Elephas maximus indicus: one gene and its partners. The protein of the gene in region 3 interacts with the protein of the main gene of each other region in a pairwise test. Links are inferred from orthologs where the notes say so. Each region holds a gene or a part of one and is shown on either strand. Other genes may lie near its edges.

What was found. The genes of interacting proteins can lie anywhere in the genome.
Region 1: the proteins of MBIP (region 3) and BFSP2 interact in binary tests that used the Homo sapiens proteins (3 or more experiments, as listed by UniProt). The two-hybrid records come from large-scale screens. The link is inferred for Elephas maximus indicus from reciprocal best matches to the Homo sapiens genes MBIP and BFSP2.
Region 2: the proteins of MBIP (region 3) and RAP1GDS1 interact in binary tests that used the Homo sapiens proteins (3 or more experiments, as listed by UniProt). The two-hybrid records come from large-scale screens. The link is inferred for Elephas maximus indicus from reciprocal best matches to the Homo sapiens genes MBIP and RAP1GDS1.

Annotation. Positions count from the first base shown.
Region 1 is NC_064844.1:46,439,295-46,446,272, reverse strand, and holds the start of BFSP2 (phakinin), read left to right. Parts: upstream 1-3,968; coding exon 3,969-4,457; intron 4,458-6,978.
Region 2 is NC_064823.1:55,404,063-55,411,701, forward strand, and holds the start of RAP1GDS1 (rap1 GTPase-GDP dissociation stimulator 1), read right to left. Parts: upstream 3,011-7,639; 5' UTR 2,819-3,010; coding exon 2,815-2,818; intron 1-2,814. UniProt on the Homo sapiens protein: Acts as a GEF (guanine nucleotide exchange factor) for the Rho family of small GTP-binding proteins (G proteins) that stimulates the dissociation of GDP to enable subsequent binding of GTP.
Region 3 is NC_064828.1:48,670,988-48,678,833, forward strand, and holds the start of MBIP (MAP3K12-binding inhibitory protein 1), read right to left. Parts: upstream 3,004-7,846; 5' UTR 2,845-3,003; coding exon 2,713-2,844; intron 1-2,712. UniProt on the Homo sapiens protein: Inhibits the MAP3K12 activity to induce the activation of the JNK/SAPK pathway. Component of the ATAC complex, a complex with histone acetyltransferase activity on histones H3 and H4.

The DNA of each region.
Region 1 (6,978 bases), on a different chromosome or scaffold from region 3:
GGCAGCAGGAGTATGCAGCCTCAGGAATCACATGGAGGACATCAAGGCGTCCACGTCCTAACATCACACAACAGGGCCTCCAGGGCAGCCAGCGTGAGCATGCACTGTGCCAGCTACAGGGCTGCCTTTTCCTAATGGAAAAGTCTCCCCTTTAAGTTCGTTCCTGCTTCCCCTCCACTGCCCATATCTGCATTAAACCCTCGTGCCTTTTTCTCTAGAGGGTTTAGATGCAGACCTAGCCCACCAGCAAATGTTTATTAGGGTTTGGAGGTTTGTTTTCTCAAAAGGCAATCTTATTGTGTCCCTGAAAACATGTTTGGGGTAGGTCTGTAATTTTAGGAACCTTCCTCCTGCGATCTTAAAAAACCGAGATTGCTAAAGCGAATCGCTTAAGAGAAGATGCCCTTTAACCTCCAGTCGGTGTTACAGATCTGCCGTTGGGGTCACCACAATGACTGGTCCTCCAGCTCTGTGTTTTGTAGACGATAATCCCCTCCGTCTGGGGTTGGCTGCCTGCACCTCCCTCCCCATACTGCGTCCTGCATGGCCAACAGGAGTCAGACCCTCGGAGATACAAGAAGGACTTCCAGAGATGGGCTGCCTGTCTATTGTTTTTTCTAATAGCCAGTGGCTGGGAGAGAAGATAACTGCTTTCACGTTTCCTTTCTCTAAAAGAGAAATAGTTTGATAGTATATTTTGAATATAGATGCTATTACAGTCAGATTGGGAATTGAACTTGAATGTTGACTTACATGTTAGTGTCGTTGCTGTGGTCTTTTGATCATGACTTTTTCCTTTCTTCCTACGTTTCAGTTTTTAAAATATATATATGGCCTTCAAAAATGTGTGTTCTCAATGTTGTATGAACTTACTTAACCTGTGTTTGACTGTTGTCTTTCTTCAAAGACTCTTGGACCTACAAAGAAGCAGGTTAAATGCTCTGAGATCCATTCTCTAACATGCTGCTGTCTGGCCTTTTTAACCTTATCATGATATTTCTGTTAGCTATTGCATTTAACATATCTGTGTGTGTGTGTGTGTGTGTGTGTGTGTGGAGAGAGAAATCTGTAAAGTAAAATTTATATATAATATATGTAATCAAAGGTACATATGTTATATATACGTATGTGGATGTATGACTTATTTTTCCTTATCCACAGAATTCAGCTACCATGTATATATAAATAAACTTATTTTATTAGCCAGAGGATTGTTGTTAATACATTTTGTGTTCTTTTCACTTTAACGTAACTTCCTTAAGGAGTCCCCATATCACCTTGTGCCTAGCTCTATTTTTTTTAATTGGATTTAACAGCAAATTGGGTTTAATGAGTGTGATGAGCTAGTAGGATTAGCAGTCTATCATTTGAGAAAACAAATCCTTTAGAATATGTTTGTGATTTCTCCAAAAGAGAATCCTCTCTCTTAGGTCTTTGGAGACACCGGTGTCAGTTAAGATGGGCCACCTCCTCATCCTACCCCTCCCAGGGCTCTGTGGAGTCATTGTAAACATCTTCAGGATAGAGCAATCTGAAGTTAACCTGGCCACTGAGGGTCACCACTCTGTGGAGAATAACAGTGCCTAAACATATCACCTTTGCCAACAACTTCACCCATATTTTGGACCCTTCATTTAGCCTTGATACATCCTGGAATTCACAAGAATGCAGATCCTTAGGCCAGTCAGTGTCTCCTACATTGCTGTTGGGTACCATCTAGTCGATTCCAACTCATAGTGACCCCATGTGGCAGAGAAGAACTGCCCTATTGGGTTTTCTTGGCTGTAATCTTGATGGGGCAGTGGTGGCACAGTGGTTAAGAGCTACCAGCCAAAAGATCAGCAGTTTGAATCTACTAGCCACTCCTTGGAAACCCTATGGAGCAGTTGTACTCTGTCCTATAGGCTATGAGTTGGAATTGACTCAACAGCAACAGGTTTGGGTTTGGGGGTTTGGGTAATCTTGATAGCAGCATATCAACAAGTCTTTCTCCGGCGAAGCCGCTGGGTGAGTTCGAACCACCACCATTTCCAGTAGCATCCAAGCACTTACCTGTTGTGCCACCAGGGCTCCTTATCACTAACACTACCCAAACAAAAAAAACTAACACTGGGAAGATGTTATTATACACAGGCTTGTCTGTGCCATGACCACATCAGGTGCACCAGAGGTGGCACTCACAGCAAGAAGGCCAAGTCTAAAGAAGGGATACCCCCAGCCTTTGCTTGATCAAGTTGGTTTCTTAATCTGTTAATCAAATAACCAACCTTGATAAAATGCCTTTTATGCCATCTCAGATAGATGAAGAAAGAGAAAAAGGCAGCGGGGGCGGGGGAGCATGGTGTTGTCCTAATGAGCAGCAAAGAAGAGCACACAGGATATTCTTGTAGGTGAGTAAGGTTTTTAACTCCTGTGGGACCTTGCATAGGTACCCTTCTCTAGTGGTGGGAGACAGAGAGGGCCTGGGTCAGTCACTGGACTGGAAGTCAGAAGAGGCAGCTCTGCTCCTTTCTGGAGATGAGACCTTGGGCAAGTCATTGAGCCCTCAGGGCCCTCATAAAATGGGAATACTGGCCAATTGTAGGGCATGTGATGATACTTCTAGAGTTGTGCAGTGCGCCCAAAATGGCGGTACACGTCAACCCTGTACCTACCTCCAAAAACTGAATTGAGAAGTCAATGAAGTAAAGCATGGAACCCATTTACTGGGGTGGGTTCAGTACTCACTAGAAGTTGGTTCCCTTCCCTTTCTCTCACTCACTTCAAGTCTGTTCCCACATTGCAGGGTCTGGGATAAATAATTCAGCTCTGGGTTTTGGTTACCTGGTTTCTCCAGAGTAAGACTTAAGTTCAATGGGTTTAGGTCCAGGTTGTCATGCCCTGGGGCTATTTTCTGGCCCTGGAGAAGTGACAGAAGGGTGATCCACGACAGCATGCCTCGGTGGATGACTACTGAATCCTAACTTGAGTTCCCTTAGACAGCTAACTGGAAAACCACTCTCCTTGTTGTTCTTATTTATTTGTTTTCCAAAAGATGAGGAAACAGGTATGGAAAACATCCGTAGCATAATAAGTATCCAATATGTGTGGGACCCAGATTTGCTCAAGGTCCCTTATCTCGTGCGTCAGGCCAGCGTGTGGAACGCAAGGTCCAGAGAAGTGAGGTAGCTTGCAGCTGATGGACAGCAGAGCTAGAGCCCATCTACCTTGACGGACCCTCCACACCCCAGGCTCTCTCTGAGGACACCTCCCCATCCCTGAAAGACACAGAGACAAGAATGCCCACCCTGCCCCCAGGAAGGGGGCTATAGGGCAGAGGTAAGAAGAGAAGATAGAGGTAGGGAGGGACATGAAGCTGCTGCTATGATTGAGGGGGGTGAAGGAAGCAACAAGCTGGCTTGGTTTCTCTTGAGCCCCCAGGACTGCCTCCCCCCATGCTGGCCTTCATCCACTTTCATCCTCTATTACCTGTTGACACATGTGCACATTCAGACCAGCAGCACAAACAGGCACTGAAATGAGGCCTGGAACACCTGGATGAAGCTTTGGCTAAACCACTCGCTAATGAGCTAAGGTCTCTTGTACCTCAGTTTATTTATCTGTGAAATGGGGCTGCTTGAGACCTGCCTTGCCCTCTCTTAGATAGTGAAAGCCTGTCAACACATGTGGCCCAATTACATGAACCCCCCGATGAACCACCCCCACAGCCTGCACTGATATAGCCTCCCCGCCCCCACACCAGCTAAACAAGCTAGGAGGTTGGGCACGTGGTCCTGCAGAGAATGCCTGAGTGCCTGTCTGCAGCAGCCCTGGGCAGGGCCTGTCTCAGCGAATTATGGAAACTCATGGAAGTAGCAAACAAAGCAGCCTGGGGGCGGGGGAGCTTCCAGAGAGGTCTGTGACCAGGCCACTGGGACTGGACTCCAAAAGCCACTGGACTGTGTAAACCCACAGAGACAGAAGGGGTGATGAGCGAGAGGCGAGTGGTGGTGGACGCACCCACCGGTGCCAGCTTCAGCATGTCCCTCCACAGGCGCAGGGCGTCCTTCAGGGGGACTCAGTCATCATCTCCCCTGGAGAGCGCCCTGGGCTCCAGGGCCAATGTTGGGGGTAGCCTGGTCCAATCACCTCTGATCTATATAGGCACAACACCCACCGGGTACATAGGTGGCCAGGGTGCCCACGTGACCTGCCGAGCCCTGGGCATCAGCAGTGTCTTCCTACAGGGCCTTCGGAGCTCAGGCCTGCCCTCTGTGCCTGCTCCTGGCCTGGAGGGGGACCACGATGCTGCTGAGGACTTGGGGGGCTGCTTGGTGGAATACACGGCCAAGGTACGTGCCCTGGAGCAGGTCATCCGGGAGCTGGAAAGGCAACTGCGGACGCACCTGGAGAGCAAGGCTGCGGGCTCGGGAAGCTGGGGTGCCCTCAGGGCCTCCTGGACCAGCAGCTGCCAGCAGGTGAGTGCCTGGGCCGGGCCACCTCTGCAGAGGGCCTGGAGGGAACAATGAAGGCTGCCTGTTGTACCATCTCTGGGGTCATTATCAGAGAGTCCGAGGGCTGGGGTAGGGGACAGGGGAGTGAGTGATCCAAGGCCCAGAAACTGACCGCAGACCTTTACCCTTCCGTGCTAAAAAATACTACTAATGATAATAATAACAACAACAGTGACAGTGGCTACTATTTACCGAGGTTCACTAGGGGCCAGGCCCACACTCGTTCCTGTATGCACGCTCTCTCCTATAATGTTCACAGTGTAGGCAGTGGCTCCATCATGGATTTCATCTTTCAGATGAGAAAACCAAAATCACAGAAGTTAAGAAACGTGCCCACGATCACACAGCTAATTGGGAGTTGAACCTGACATTTGAACCTGAAATTTTCCATCTTCAAAGCTTGCACTTGTCCCATTACCCTGGGCCGCCTGTGTCAGCCTTTATTGTTGTTACGTGCCATCGAGTGGATTCCAGCCATCATCAAATTCAATACCGCTGAATGGATGTGGTACTAAAAACGATGAGAAAATGGAAGCGTGTTCCTCTATCCACCCATAACAAAACTGTCCAAAAGAAATGTAACATGAGCCACGGAGGTAATTTCCAGGTTTCTATTAACCACCACAGTAAAAAAAAAAAAAAGGGAAAAAGAAACAGGTGAAATTAATTTAACATTATATGTTATTTAACGCAACATATATTTTTTTTTATCCAAGATGTTATCATTTCAATACGTAAAAAAAAAAAAAGCTTTCTATTTTAGTACCTTTGACGGGCCACCACCTGTCTGTCAGTTTGTTGTACCGCGGTGGCTTGCATACTGCTATGATGCTGGAAGCTGTGCCACTGCTATTTCAAATACCAGCAGGGTCACCCACAGTGGACAGGTTTCAGTGGGGCTTCCAGACTAAAAGGGACTAGGAAGAAAGCCTGGTGATTTACTTCCGAAAGTTAGCGAGGCAAACCTGATGGATCACAACAGTACGTTGCCCAACTCGCTTTCTGTGGACATCCGGAGGGCTCAGTCACTGGAGGAGGATGTCATGTTTGGTGAAGTACAGGGCCACTGAGGGTGTGGGAGACCCTCAGTGAGATGTATTGGCACAGCACCCATAACAATGGGCTCGAACATAGTGGAGATTGTGAGAATGTCGCAGGACCAGGCAATGTTTGGTTCTGTTTTCCATAAGGTCACCATGAGTCAGAGTTGGCTCATTGGCAGCCAACAACAACTTTTAATGGCACTTTTTTACCACTTTTTGAGCAAGAGGTCCCATGTTTTCATTTCACAGCGGGACCCACACATTACATGGACCATCCTTGTTACAGGGTTACTGTATTATGAAGTTCCTTTCCATTTCCCAGCCTCTCTCTTCTGGCTCCCAGGCTGTGTCCCACCCTCCCAGCCACTTCTCTTGCTAAACACGGAAGCAGACTGAAAACCCCCAGGCACTGGGCAAAGAGTCTGAGGGGGACCCCCCGGCTCCTGCACACTTCTCAAGGAGTGTTTCCCTCTCGGCCTTGCCAGGGGCTCCAGACTCTTCTTGCCACGTAAAGGATGTTGATAATCACCTCTGGCGGGAACATCAGGCCCTTTTCATCGTCAAATAGGCCAAACACAGGCTTGGAATTTGGCAACCACCCTGTCTGCCTCAGAGCTGCAGATAAAAGGAGAGGGGACGGAGAAAGGAGCAGGAAGGAGCTGAGGCCAGGGTAAGGGGGACGCTGGCTGGGGAAGAAGGGAGGAAGTGTGGGCCTTTAAATTGTCACCACTCTGTTATGGAGCCACGGAAATTAGGGGTCTCCCCTGGAGAAAACGTCAGCTTATACCTCCAGTGGCAAAGGCTGGCAGCTGGAGGAGAAGGGGAAATGAATATTATAAAAAGTTAAGAAGATTAGAATTTAAAACAGGCCTGATCTGAATATTTTTCCTGCTGCTCACAGTCCCTGTTTCTGCCCCTTGCAGAGAGACAGCCCCTGCTCTGGGGGTCTGCCTATCTGGAGAAGATGCTGGAAACTTAGGTAGTCTAAGTCAGGGCCAAGTTTCTCTCCCCACAGAACCCGTGGCCCTAGGAGCTTTTTTTTTTTTTTCTTTTAAAAAAGAAGAAACAAGAACAGTTCCTCTGCTGAGTGAAAAAAGAAAGGCAACAGGATCATTGTTCATGATTCAAGACCTGGTGTCCCTGAAAGGGGAGAGGGACTTGAGCTATTTTTAGCATGTGTACTCCCTGAATTAAATAATACATTGACCCAAGACAAAGCCACCCAGCCTGTTTGGTCAGAGCAGGTCACTCTGTTAGCCAAGCTATAAGGGACACTGCAGTATCATTAAAATATAACTACCAGGAGAAAAATATATTTAGGAGAGTTTCAATTGGGGAGAGTGATATGTAAGACTTCAAGAAATATTTTGACAGGCCAGGGGAGGGGGCAGGGGCATGAGATCACAACCAAGGAGGTTGGTCAAGTAATATTAAAAAAAAAA
Region 2 (7,639 bases), on a different chromosome or scaffold from region 3:
TTACATACATGTTGAGTTTATAATAAAATATATACATAAAATAATTGCCATGGTCCAAAGGTCATATAGTAAGTTTCCTTTACTTTCTTGGGTAGAAAAATCAATGCCATGAGAATTTTTTTTTAATTACCTTATTTCTTGAGAAGAAAAGATTAAAAAGTGATTTTTTTTCTACCATCAGTAGTGTGCCTTCCACCTCCTATGCTGTATACAAATCTTTATAATTTCCTTGGCTCAGAATATAAAATTGCTTTCCAAGGTTTCAATTTTATGTTATTGCATATACCTACTGATGGCACGCTAAATCGCCTTATCGTTGAAAGCAACATTGTAGAAGGATATGGCTTCCCTGGAGGCTGTCTCAAAACAACCTGGGTAAGAACCCAACTCTTTTTTTTTTTTTTTTCTTTTAAAGAGAGGAAAGACATAGTACAATTATACGTTCATATCCCCTTTGACATATCCAATAACCCAAATATTTGTTTGGAGCCTATACTTTTCAGGCTCAAAGGTAAAAAAATAACAGATACGTGGTTTTAAGTTCAACAATTAATTCAGCTAAGACTTACTGAATACCTGCTATGTGAAACGCATTGTGAAGACACAAAGATTAGTAAGACAATTTTCACCTTCTGGAATTCACGATTAAATGCACAACACACACACACATAAACAACTCTAATATAAGGCAGATTATGTAAGTGCTAAAAAGCTTCTAACAAGTTACAAATAGCTATCAGGAGAGAAAGAGGTTAATTTAGTCAAAGCGGACCTGAGAAGGCCTCACAGGGAAAGATGGGTTTATAGTTGACTTTTTCAAAATTTTTCAAAATTAATTATTTTTAAATAAATAATTTTCTTTGTTTTAACTACTTTTAGTCACTAACGTTATAAGAGCATTTTCCCCCCCAAAAAAGTACTGACTGAACATGTAAAGTTTTAATTAAATGGGTTTTTTAAACTCATCCTGAAACATGGGGAAATGTATTCCACAGGCCAGATTTGGTAATTAAGAAAATTGGGGTAAGTTCAAGGGCAAGGCACAACACATGCAATAATCTGATTTATTATTTATTTAAAATTACTCCTACAGAAAGCTTGTTGTTGTTGTTAGCTGCCTTTGGAGTTGGCCCCCCGACTCATGGAGACCCTGTGTGTCACAGGGTAGAACTGCTCCAAAGGGTTTTCTTTTCTGTAATCTTTACGGAGGAGCCCTGGTGGCAAAAATGGTTAAGCAGCTGCACAGGAGAAAGACCTGGCAATCTGCTTCCCTGAAGATTACAGCCAAGAAAATCGTATGTGGCAGTTCTACTCTGTCACATGTGCTTGACTTGACAGCACCTAATAACAATCTTTATGGAAGCAGTTTGCCAGGCCTTTCTTCCATGGAGCTGCTGGGTGGGTTCAAACCTTCTGAACCACAAAGTTTTGTCACATATAAATGGGCCACCCTATTTTTACAATTTGTTCAGTGTACCAACAGCACCTACATTAAAAGGGAAAAAACAATCATTTTTCATTCAAACCATCTTACCCTGCAGCCCTGGCCTCTTCCTGACATACAGCCGAAGCTCTGAATCAGTGCTTGGAACATCTGCTTTTCCAGTAATCTTCAGTGACACCATATCTAGATTTAGATATTTCCTTGGAGATTCTGAATTGCCATAATCTAACTCTGAACATGTTGTTAGAACTCTACTAACAGATAAAAGAACCGTGCATCTCAAGCTTAAACAACTTGCACAAAGGGGTGGGAAAAGTCCAGCTGATAGATGCCCATGGAGCAAATTTAAAAAGAGGGAATTATGATCGACAGGAGTGAAAGCAAATTGGGGAACATGTAGAAGTATGGTATTCCAAGTTAATACATCCCCTCAGCTCACCCAGTCCAAAAAAACTTCAGGCTTTTAACTAACATTACAGAATTCATCTGTAATTACGGCATTTAACAGTTAAGCAATAGGATTAAAATTTGAGGGATGAATTATACGTATTTTTACAAAACTTGTATTTGCTTTTAAATATCTCATCCAAACCAACCTCTTGAGATTAACTATAAATACAAGACAACTAAAATCAGATTAGGCAGATTTAGGCAGAGCAAACTAGGAAAGAATAACACGTAAGTTCACCAACAACATGGGCTGAGCACAGGAATACTGCACGCTGTAGTCACCCACACCAATTCAAATCAGCTAGCAGCTCTCTTTCCTCACGTTCCTCGTGGCCTCTGACAAGTCATCGTTTCAACCTATGAGGCTGTCCGCTTTCCCCCATCGAAAATAAATGTCCGTGCAGGTTGTAAAATAGCCCTCACAAACTATGTGCTCACATTTCCCCGCCTCGGGATGAGCAGTCCCCAGAATAAGGAAAGGTCGTGCTGACAGGGGAGTTCCATTAAGTGGTCTTTCTCCCGATCGGACAGGAACCTCGAGCCCAGAAGACGTGGGAAAAAGGTAGCAGGCGGCCTTCACAGAAACGGGGACGGGGCAAAGGATGCGAGCTGGCGAGCCTGGCTCCGGGGTGCCCGGGCTCGGGCAGGAAGAATGGAGGAGGGGAGGCGAGGCAGTGAGGTGCCGAGCCGGGCGGCGGTCCGGTCCCGCGTACCGACCCCACCCCGCACTCGGGACCCTCCCAGTCCGGGTGCCCGGCGTGCGTCCCGCGTGCGCCGACTCTCCCCGGAGGAAAAGCCACCGTCTCACACCCGTGGAATTGAGATATCCGGCAACTTTGCGCGAAAAATACTTCCTACCCTGCAGCACGGCGAGGAAGAGAAAAATGTCAGGCGATGACGGGGAAGGAAGGATGACTTACCCATGTTCCTCCCAGAAAGTGAGGAGCCGGTAGGGCGCAGCGAAGGTCTCCGGTGCAGGCGGCGCGGTGCTGTGTCCTCCTTCAACCTCCGTCTCTCCCGCAGCCAGGGAGGGACCCGCGGGGGGCGGCCGCCGGGGAGGAGCAGCTGCTGCCGCTGCTGCTGCTGCTGCCGCTGCTGCCGCTGCTGCTGCTGCAGGCGGCTCGGCCGCGGCGGGGACGAGCGGCGGGGGGCGGGGCGGGGCGGGGTGGGGCGGGGCGGGCGGGCGCAGCCTGCGCCGGGCGCGGCTCCGGGCGGGCGGGCAGCGGAGGCGCCGAGCCGGCCGAAGGAGCGCCGGCCCCGACGCGCGGCCCGAGAGAGCCCCGCCCCTCCCATAGAGCATGCTCAGTACATTCCCCCTTAAAAAAAAAAAAAAACCCGAGGCTAGTGAGTGTGAGCGTGCGGGTGGGCGTGTTTGCGGACCGGCTGCAGCCGCCGTGGAGGAGCCTCATGGCGGCCATGTGAGGGGCAGAGGGTGGGCCGGAGAGGGCAGGACACGGGAACACTGATCCCGAATTGCTGCTATCCCGACACCCCCCAGGCTTGCTTCCCCACCCCAAGCTCCGCCAGCTCACACTCAGAAAACAGGCCTGTGTTTATTACAAGACAGCCCGGCTCACTTGGGGTAATTTCCCGGAGAACAGCTGGAATGGACGTGTGGGCGATGAGGCCAACGCTTCCCGGAGATACCTGAGGGCGCCCATTTTCAGAAAAGCCTGTGGGGGCCCGCTGGACACAACGGGGAGGAGGCCGCTGGGAGGACGCTGAATATTAATAGGCATATCTCTAGGGCAGTTAAAGCTGCCCTAGCTTGTGGCTAGTTTTAAAACAGAGAGGTCGGGGCAGCGCAGAAGAGTGATCTCCCCGGCATTTTCTCAGGGAGTGTGTTCTCCGAGGAGTGCGGCCTTCCATTCCCCGGAGGAGAATCCCCTCGCGCGCTCCAGAAAGACGCTTGAAAGGCTCTTTAACAAGGGTGCCCTCGGCGGTCGGGCTCCACCCCACCCGGAAAAGCCCGGCTCCGCCCCGCTCCCTTGGAACGCGGGAGGAACAACGCTCCCAAGGCAAGAAAATAGGCTTCGGCCCGAAACGGCTGCGGGCACCCCGGGTGGAGCCGGGTGGAGCCTCCCTGCACCTCCTTAGCTCAGGGGATAACCATGCAGGGGTGCTTCCCAAGCCGACGCGCCTTTTCAGGGCGCTCTCCCGACTGAGCATGCGCGCGAGGCGGGTGCCCGTTTTCGGTCCTGAGCCGGGCGAGGAGGCTAGGGGGACACCTTGCTCTCTGGGCGCACTTGTTTCGCCCTGACTTCTGAATGGCTGGGGTGAGGACTCAGGCCGCTCTTTTGAGGCAGCAAAGACCGCAGTCTTGCAGGGGACAATGAGCGCAGAGTCGGCAGCACAACCTGTGAGAGGAAGATGCTGAATAGCTGAATCGAGATTTCTTTCCACTTTTTCAAACCAATGTTGAGAAAAGGTTTTTTTTGTTTGTTTGTTTTTCCCATGCATGGCCCTCTTACAGTCAGGTCAGTTTATCTTTGATACTACAAGTACACGCCTGAAGGGAGCCTGTCATTTGTTAAGCAGAAGACATTTTGTGTGCCTTTTCTAAAACAAAAATGAAACATAATTAAGAAGAAAGTTTGGTAAATTAAGAAAATACAGGTTACAGAAGTCAAAGATACTAGTATATTCTGATGCACATGGCAGAATCACACACCTCACTCTCCTACTGCCGTGCATCCCTTTCTCTAATATAAGGATGCGCTTCCTGTTTGCTTCAAAATAATCTTACACGTCAATGCAAGCCCCACCACCTTTTCCTCCCCACCCCACCAGTCCCACACACGCACGCAACCCCCTTATTCCAAATTCATTGCTTAATCTATCCCGAAGGCCGCACTGGGACCTTGCTGTATTTCTGCTTCTCATTTTTGTTTATTGGTTGTGTTTTTTTTGGGGGGGGGGGAGTTTACTGGGGGGAGGCCTTTTTTCTCTTTCTTTAACCTTCCTTAATCTCTTCCGGATCCTCAAATTCACTTGCGTCACTTTTCCTGTTACTTGTTTTTCTAATTATATTGCAATAATTATAGTAATTTCTTACAGTATTATGTATCTTTCATTTGGACGTATGAATTAAAACAAAAGCCACTGAAGTGGCTTTGTGATCTCCCACCTGACACATTTCAGTGTATTTTGTGTTCTGCTTGAATCGACAAGCGGTTCCCTCAGCATTCCTACCAACTGAAACCAAAGGATTGTCCGGGCATACTGCATAGAGTGAGTCCAAAGCACTGGCGTGTAACCGTAGCGGGACTCAGTAACTGACTGCTGGTTGCAGAAGCAGATCAGGTATGGATCTGTGTAAGGTCTACCCTTTCATACAACCCTATCGCCTTCCAACCTTACCTTTCTTGTCCTAGCTATTATAGAAATATATATATGTTTTTTTTTCATGTCTTTACTTTCTTCCTTCATCTGTTTACTCAAAAGTCACCTGCATGAGGACTTTCCTGGCCACTTTATCTAAAATTTCAACATTCCTACATCACTTCCCCACTTCCATGGTTTATTTTTTTGACTTAGCACTTATCAGTATCTAAGAAAATAGATATTTTGCTTATTGCCTGCCATCACACTTAAATGTAAGCTCTCCAAGGGCAGGAATTTTTGTCCATTTTATTTGCAGTTATACCCCCAGTGCCTAGAACACTGGCTAGCACATAGCAAGCATGATGTGTTGTGTAAATTAAAATCTTTTCATGTTTGTTTTTAGAGTTTTTATTCTCAAGGAGAACAAATATGGTGTTAATATTCTCCTTATAAACTCTAGCACCTGACTATGTAAAATTAGTTATTCAATAAATATAATAATGACAACTGCTATATCTGTGCTAGTTCTATCTGAAACTATTACGTTTCTATGAGGTAGAGTCTTTGTACAAATTTGCTCATTCAGTTAGTCCATATTGAGAGTCTACTATGTACCAGACATGATTAAAAACAAAAACCAAATCCATTGCTATCAAGTCAATTCCAACTCATAGAGACTATACGAAAGGGTAGAGCTACTACATAGGGTTTCTAAGGAGCAGCAGGTGGATTTGAACTATCAACCTTTTTTGATTAGCAGCTGAGCTCTTAACCACGGTGCCAAGGCACTGGATGTACAAAATCAAGTAAACTGTGGCCCTTGCCTTCAAGAAGCTTATATGTTAGAAATATTGTTTTGGTAGTACTTCTGGCCTCACATGAATCAATAGAAAATATTCTGAAGTCAAGAGACTCCTCCAGAAATCAATCTACTAGTGCCATGCTGCACGTTAGGAAATGGTCAGAATTTGATTAGATCTGCTACAAAATAAAGAGAAAGTCTTGCCCAATACAGAGGTTTTCAAATGTCTATCCAGGAAATATTATAAAGTATCACAGATTTATTTGAATAACAAGGTCTGTTATAAAATGGTTTATGATTAGCCAAATAGCTGTTGTTTGTGGGGGTAGGGAGGAGGATCAAGGAAAATGTCTATGAGAAAGGATCGCAAGCAGTACATTTTAGCAAGGTTTATAACCTAACTTACCTCATTGATGTACATAACCTTAAAGCGGCTAGAGATGATTTAAATTCTTCAGAAGAAATGTACTAGGAGGGGCAGAACAAGAGGAACTGAATAGAAGCAAGAATGTGCTTTAAAAGAATAATAGGGAACTGATTGCTGCTTCGTCCTGTGATGTTCTGAATATCATTTAGGAGAATCTCACTGGAGTAGTTAACTGAACTTTGCAGTGATAAAAAATGATTTGGCAGTGAAAATTCTTCTGCCTAAGCTGTTTTTAAAAGGCCTCATTGGTAAGGTTAGGCTAATCCAGGTTCAACAATTGATATGTCCTCACCCACTAACTCACTGTAGGGCCTGTGCCACCTCCTTTTCATTTACTTATTTTATTAACCATTTTCTAAATCTTATGAAATCTAAATTTTTTCATAGGCTACTACCTCAATCTACTACTGTCTACATATTTCAAACAACTATAGGCCTATATTATATACATTTTTAGATGGTACAAACCACTTCAGAATCAATCAGTTGAGTAGTTAATATTAAAATATTTAACCTACTTTAATTTCAATTGGCTTTGCCATTCTGTTGTTTTAAAAGGAGGATTAGAAGCTTGGTATGCACCTAGGATTCTAAATCATAACATGCAGGGATTTGTCGTATTTGTATCTGTCAAGAGACAAGAATGCCCAGTTCCATTCACTACTAACTGCCTCTGTGGCACTTAATTTTGTCTCTTTGGGCAGTTCACCATTTTGTCTCTGACTCTCAAATTTATTGTTCATAAAAATTGTTAATTATAATATATGTCTGTCAGGGGAAAAAACCATGAAGTGTCTTTCAAATGTAAGCAATGTTTTTAGACTGCGTCCTGGCTTTCTGAAAGGAATTTAGTTCTACAGTTAAAATTACCTCCACCCTATACCCCAACCATCCACGTGCACACATTTTCACAGATTCAATGAAGATGCCCTCCGACTCTTCAAGCTTTCCATTCCTCTTACCCTGGACTAGCCTAAGGCAAAACTGGGAAATAAATGAAATTAGTTTTTGATGCTCTTGGAATTATTTACTGAGTACCTACTATGTGTCAGAAACTCTCATCTAATACTAACCACATAAGCATTTTGTAGATAAGGAAATGGAAAATCAAGATATTTGAATTAATTTGCCTAATGTCATATGACCAACAAAAAGTAGAGCTGGAATTTGAACTAGGTTGGTTTGATTTCTA
Region 3 (7,846 bases):
AATAAAGACAAGTGGTGCATGAATTCAAATATAGGTCTTATCAGGTGTGACTATAAAAATTACTGTACAAGGAACCAGAGATGCAATGTATCCAATAAAAAAACACTATACTAAAAGAAAACTTTGAAACAAATTCATTGTCCTTTGAACATGAGATCAGAAGCATTTAAAGTTCACATTAGACAAGTTTAAAGAAATAGAAATTTTTATGTAGGCTGTACTGGCAAAGATTAATGCCTCTTAGTTTACATTCCCTTAACGTCTTTCATAAAGAGTTTGTTAGACAACAACTTTTGTATGGAAGTAAACTACTACTACACTTTTACAGGCCTCAAAGAGATCTATAGCAAGTAGAACAAATTTATGAATATGGTTTGGAGTAAAGCAGGCAAATTCTCAACCAAAGCAAAGCATCAAATTTTCTAGAGAAAAGAGTAACTTAGGGAAAATAAAAATAAATGTTTGGATCGTATTCTCGTTTCAATTCAACACAATTATGAAAGCCTTCAAGTGCAATAAGGATACTTGGTCTTTCAAGAAAGCCATATAATAATGTCATGAATTAACTTGAAAACTATCCTAATACATTCAACTATCTAATCAACAAATTTTCTCTGCATTTTACCCTATAGAATTTGTAGTGGTACACCATTCACTCAAAAATCTATATTAGTCTGCTATTAATATAGGCCAATTAAATATGCATTTTCAGTCAGTCAAAACTTCATTAATAAGACAATCCAAGCTAACAATAAACAATTCTTTAACTTGGTAAAACGGGCCATCCGGAGGCAAGCAATAAGGTTAAACTTGGCAAAAATTAGTACATTTTTCAATCTGGGATAGAAATACTTTTTAAAGTTCAATTTTATGCTTCCTATTGAAGAGAACCAATAATACAATGGCATTATACAGAATGAGTTTAGGCATATATTTTAAATCCTTCAAACCTGTTGCAAAAGGAAGCAGTGATTTCCCCTGAAGTGATTTTATAAGTATTATAATACTCTGGTTTTTATTCTTATCTTTAAATAATATGTCTCAAAATTGAAAGAATATTACCAAAATGATTAGCATTTAATTGACGAGACAATTTTATTTTTGACACTTGTATAAAAGATTCCCTCACTGCGTCATGTAAACTCACCAAATATTTATATTAAACATTTCTGACAGGTGACAAGAGTAGATTTTAATCACATCTCTACTGTACCTACAGAATACCTGAATGTTTACAATTTTTAAATGAATTTGAAAAATTCAGAACACGAAATTAGAAAGTTTAAATCATTCCTCAATGTTGATTTTTATAAATATTCCATTACTGAATCAGAAATACCTTCTGTAAATAATAGGATAAACTTTTTTCATCCTGGCATTAGAGTATGACTAAACTTTAAATTTCTAATAGCCACACCATAAAAATAAAAAGTTCTCTAACTTTTAAAACATTTAGAAGTCTTGGGTCTTAAGGCTAAAATGTTAACAATAATTAATCAAAAGTCCTCAAGTCTTCATAAATATTTTTTGGTCTTTGGCAAGTAACCAAGTTTAAAAGCTATATTCTACCTTTTAGCAGATTCCATTAATAATTGTTCCATTATACCAAGCTGAGTGTTTAAAGTAATGCTCTTTGTAAATCATGACAAGCATGCTAGAATTTTTTTTTAAATATTGAAATAACTTTAAAAAATTAGTTCTCCATATACTGAAGGCTTTAAAAAATAATTTCCATAAATTGGACAAATGCTTTATTTTCTTAAGAATTAACCGTTATCTTCAACACAGACGTCTGCTGTGTCTACTTGACCACAGGCATTACTACCAGTTCCAGAACAAACTTGTATAGCTAGAAAGTGTTCCATCTAAGATACAAAATATTTCCTTTTAGAAAGTAGGCAAATAAACATCTCTTCAGGTTGTTTTTCATTTAAAATTTGCTTTGAATTGTAATTGAAACCAAACAGTGAGTTGATCCGAACAGAGTAAGGAGCTCATTTCTTTCAAACCCAATTTTACTAAGACATTTATGCAAGTTATTTATCAGTTAGCCTAGTTAATAATTAAAAGAAGAGCTCTCATGCAAACAGATTAACCATGGGCAACCCATCCAACTTTATGCTGTAAGTATTTTCGATTAATTCCTTTTATTTTCCTCCCCGTCTGAAAGCGTAATAGATGCAAATGATGTCCAGAAGCAAAAAACAAAAAAAAAACAAGTGACTCATAAGAGCAAATCGACCCAAAAACGGTACAGTGAGCGCTTTCCCACAATCTCAGGCCGCACTAACTAGCCAATTTCTAAAAGGAACTGGAGGAAAAAGAACTCAGCGTCAGACGCCTCCCAAACCGTTAGAGAAGCTTTTCCGCATTCACTCTCTCCGAGAACCAGGTTTTCATTTACACTGTCCTCACTCACTCTACGGGAGAATAATAACATCCACTGCCGTCGAGTCGCTTCCGACTCACAGCGACCCTATAAGAGAACAGTTGCAAGGAAATCTAGTTTGCAACCGGTCCCTGCAACTAAGTCTGTGCAGCCATCCTCCTCCCTCCGCCGGGAGGCGGCAGGGGCCGGGGTTCCTCCCCCGGCCTGAGCCGCTCCCGCTGCCTGCAGCTTGCTGCCCTCGGCGGCCCCCGCCCTTAACTACAGGGAAAAGGGGGGAGGGGCCGTACGGTTCCCACGCTCTGCTCCCTCAGGTCACTACTCACTTGTTCAGCCAGGGTTCGCAAGGAGCGAAAGGTTTCGCAGAGCGCCTCTCGGCAGAGGCTGGGGCTGCAGCTCCGCTCCGAGCTCCTGTCACTGCTGTTCGGGCGACTAAGCTCCGTGGCGGCAGCAGCCATGACACCTTCCCCGGCAGCCCCCACCACTACCCAGGCGCGTTCGCAGCCCCCTCCCTCCAGTTTTTGCCGCTCGAAAATGACGTAAAAACACCGCGTCTTATTTAGATCGTGGTTTTTAGGCTCCCACCGTTTCTGTGTGACTGGCAAGCACGGGCACCAATCAGGTGATCAGCCAGTGTGGCGCGGTGCCTAGAATCGGGAGCCGGCAATTGCTGACCAGAGCGAGGCCGGATGTTGTATCTGGGATGGTGATTGAAGCAGGGGTTTAGAGTTTGCGTCTTGAAACGTACCTTGACTATTAGATGGTGTTTATGAATGTCGGTAAGAGGACATTTATCATTAAATGTTAGAGTTCGAGCCTCAGAATTACAAGTTGAAATTTTAACATGCCAGTGTGTAGTGGTCTCAGGAGAGATCGGGTTCAGGTCTAGGGCGGTGTCCGCACGTGTTTCTAAACGTTGGATAACTCACACAGAATTACCATAACTGGATAGAATGTGCTCATCTCTACAAGCTTGTTTAATACTTACACAAATTAACGCCAGTAATTTTTCATGCGGGGCAAAATGAGGATGTAAAAACAAAAGTGTTCCGTTGTGCCTTCGTTTTACTACCAAAGGAATGACAATAATGACTTTAAATCTGCAAATAATTTATATCAGGTTTTAAGACGTGCACCAGTTGCTAGTTTCTGGGTGGTGCGGTAGAGACGTTCAACCCTAAAATTGTTTCAAGGAAGTGCAGTGGTCACTATGATTCCAGCAGGAATTTAACCTAAGTAATTCCATGCAACACAAACTTTGAAATTAGGACATAAAACTGAATTAAACTTTGACCAAGTGTTATTTATCAAATAGCTTTATTATAAAGAAGCTCGAAGGACTTTGTAATCTTTCAGGCAAAGTCTATCACTAAAAAAAAAATTGTCCAACTGAAAAAATAAGTCTTAGAAGAAAGTTCAAAAACACTTAAAAAAAAAAAGCAGTATCAATTTAAAGACAAGAGACAAGGGACTTAAAACTCTTAATTCTAATAGTCTAATGCATTTACAGTACAGGGGACAAAGATGGAAACTTGTACAATGTGTATTCTTCAGTTTTAGAGGAGGCTGAATGAAAGGGAAGGAATAGGGCATCAAGGAACTGGGATAAGGGTAACCAGCTAACCGATAAGGGTAGTAGGGTTAAAAGAACCCTTTGACCTGTCCCTAGGGAGCCTCTTAATTAGGCTTTTATTTCCAAAGACTTGTGGGATCACCAGGCTTGACAGGATCTTAAGAAATCTTGCCTGTTCCCTTGTTAGCAGACAAGATATACAGCTGATAGTCCACTTATGTCTAGAGATATCCAGAAAAAAATTTCACAGTATCTAATTCCAAATTGAGCAACCCTCTCATTTAAGTCTCTCACCCCTTCTCTAACGCAAATATATGATTTCTTTGCAATGTTAGAATATTTTCTTTGACTCTGGTCCTCTAGTTAAAGGAGAATATTGTAATAGGTAACTACAAGTTTTTGTTTCTATAGCAAATTAACAACCAGTTTCAGGTCATTTATTATCTATATATGAGATTTTTTTTCAAATATGTAGATTACTGGTATGAGACACATTTAGAAATATTTTGTACATTAAAACAATACCATCCTTAACAAGATTTTGCTCATTCCTTTCTTTGCCATCACTGACTTTGAAATTTCAAGTTTTATTTGTTCACTTGAACCCCTAATACAAAATTAAATGGTGCCCATTTGATTTGTATTATCTCACTTCTCCATGTAATTTTGTGTTTGATATCTGGACTTCTACCTTTATCTTAGTATTTACTTTGGTAATAGTTGGGATTTGTTAACTCATTTGTAGTGTCTTCTTTCCAGGGATCTTTCTTATGCCTTCCTGAGGCATATTATTTACATTTTGGAAATTTTTCTCATTTCTTTTTTCCTTCTTATAATAGAAAATTCCATTTTAAATAGAAGAGTTCGTAGGCTGAAAAGATGTGGATTCCTTTGGCCTAACCTTAAATAGATATTTATAGATATTAACGTGTAACAAAAATAAAATGAAAGCTATGCAATTTAGAAAAGAATAAAGGAAATAATTTATTCTTTATAGGAGACTAATTACAGTTTATGAACTGGGTTGCTAAAAAATGTGCTGCCTGGTGGAAATGATTGAAAAATGTTGGTATTGGTGTTAGCTACAGAGTTAGAAATACTGTCCTGTGAGTTTATGCCAAGAATCAGTTGGAGAGGATAGAAATTATAGGTGAAAACTAGGCTATTTACCTTTTCAACAAAAATGTTCTTTATGATGAACTTTAATTCAGAGCACTATATGCACTTAACAGTTGTTTGCTGAGTGAATGTTATATAGATCTCTCCTAATGCAGAAAAGGCAAAACAAATAGTGTTTGTCGTCTCTGGCTTCCCATCACCTACTGGCGAAGTCCGAGTCCGTTATATTGTCATCTAAGATCCTTATAACCTGACTGTTGCCTAAGTTTCCAGCTTCATTTTCTACCACAAGCCATCTGGTACTTAATGCTCCCCAAACTGCTCTTCTTTATAGCCCTACGATTTCTTGTCTCCATTCTTTTATTCCTGCCTGTTGCTTCTGGTTTGCTTGGAAAACTCTCCAGTTTTCAAACTCCAGTTCAGAAATCTTCTCTGAGAACTCTTTCCTCATACCTCTCCTCATAGAGACTATGTAACCTCTGCTATACTTCTCCTGAAACTCATATATACTTCCATTATTGTACTTAGTGCTTCGATATTGAAATTTGAGTACAGTATGTATTGCTATTTAACTATGAGTATATTTATCATGTTCCTGTACTTAAGACTTGACATAGTTCCTGGCACATAGGACAGAGCAGAGCTGTCCCATAGGGTTTCCAAGGAGCAGCTGGTGGATTCGAACTGGCAACCTTTTGGTTAGCAGCTGATCTCTTAACCACTGCGCCACTGGGGCTCCAGGTGATTTATATGTATCATGTTCCTGTACTTAAGACTTAGCATAGTTCCTGGCACAGAGTAATTGCCCTATGTATGCTTATCGAACTAAATTTATTTGCCTAAGGTAAACATATTTGTAAAATGGAAAAAAAGAAACAAGCTTCCAGTGTTGGGGGAAAATTATAAAATATAGTAAGAATGCTATAAACAATTAATTTAAAATAATGAAGCATGTCTGTCATGGATTGAATTGTGTCCTCCAAAAGTATGTGTTGACTTGGTTAAGCCATGATTCCCAGCGTTGTGTGGTCGTCCTCCATTTTGTGATTTTCCTATGTGTTATAAATCATGATCTCTGCCTGTGGTTAAAGAGGATTAGGATGGGATATAACACCCTTGCTCATGTCACGTTCCTGATCCAATATAAAAGAAGTTTCCCTGGGGCGTGGCCTGTACCACCTTTTATCTTACAAGAGATGAAAGGGAGGCAAGCAGAGAGTTGGGGACCTCATACCACCAAGAAAGAAGCACCAGGAGCAGAGCATGTCTTTTGGACCCAGGGTTTGTGCGTGGAGAAGCTCCTAGTTCAGGGGAAGATTGATAAGAAGGACCTTCCTCCAGAGTCTACAGAAAGAGGAAGCCTTCCCCTGGAGCTGACGTCCTGAATTTGGCCTTCTAGCCTACTAGACTGTGAGAAAATAAGTTTCTCTTTGTTAAAGCCATCCACTTGTGGTATTTCTGTTATAGCAGTGCTAGATGACTAACACAATGCCTGTTTATCCTCCTTTGGGGCAGCAAATTCAAAGTGCTTCAATTTTTAAGTAAATATGTATAAATAGCCTCCATAACCATTCTCATGAATGATACCATATAAATTAACAATTGTACCTACTGTATGCCAGACACTTTGATAGGCCTTGAGGGTACAAAGATGGATCAGACAAGGAACCTCCCTCAAAGAGCTAGGCAGTTATGTCTAGTGGGCTAGGCAGATATATCTACCACCCACCTGTCAATTTGTCATACTGTGGTGGCTCGTGGGTTGCTGTGATACTGGAACCTGTGCCACTGGTATCTCAAATACCAGTAGGGTCACCTATAGTACATAGGTTTCAGCAGAGCTTGCAGACCAAGACTAGGAGGAAAAGCCTGGCAATCTGCTTCTGAAATTAGCCAGTGAACACCTCATGGATAACAACAACGTCGTCTGACTCACTTGCTTAGGACACGTCACGAGGAGGGATCAATCACTAGAGAAGCACTTCATGTTTGGTGAAGTGGATGGCCGGCAATGGTTAGAGAGACCCTCAGTGAGATGGATTGGCACATGGCAACAACAGAGGACTTGTACATGCCAGCAATCCTGAGGATGATGCGGAACCAAGCAACGTTTCGTTCTGTTGTACCTAAACTAAGGTCACCATGAGTCAAAATCAACACAATGGCAGATAGCTATCTAGGCAGATTTGTAAACAACTACAATATTATGTAACAATGACCATATTAAACCCAAAAAAACCAAACCCAGTACCGTCGTGTCGATTCCGACTTATAGCGACCCTATAGGACAGAGTAGAACTGCCCCATAGAGTTTCCAAGGAACGCCTGGTGGGTTTGAACTGCCAGCCCTTAGGTTAGCAGTTATAGCACTTAACCACTAAGCCACCAGGGTTTCCAATGACCATATTAGAGGTATGTATGAAGTAATACAATTGATTGTTTCCTTTGGGGAGGGTACTGAGGTTCAGTGTTCGGAAAAGCTGTAAACAGTTACTGTAAAACATGGATGGAGCCTCAAACAATGAGTAAGACATCTCAATTTAGAGAATACATTATGAGCAGCAACTTGAACATTCTTGATGTGTTCAGAGAGGATACAATGAATAGAGTAGTATGCTAAGCCAGCATTTCCCAAAGTTGGCTGAACCCTAGTCCTGCAAGATGCTTCTTTTAACAAAAGATTCCATGATCAAATAAGTTGGGAAAACATTACAGTAATAATTGAATAATTGTGATGCTGTCTCATGCAATGGATCACTACTATCTCA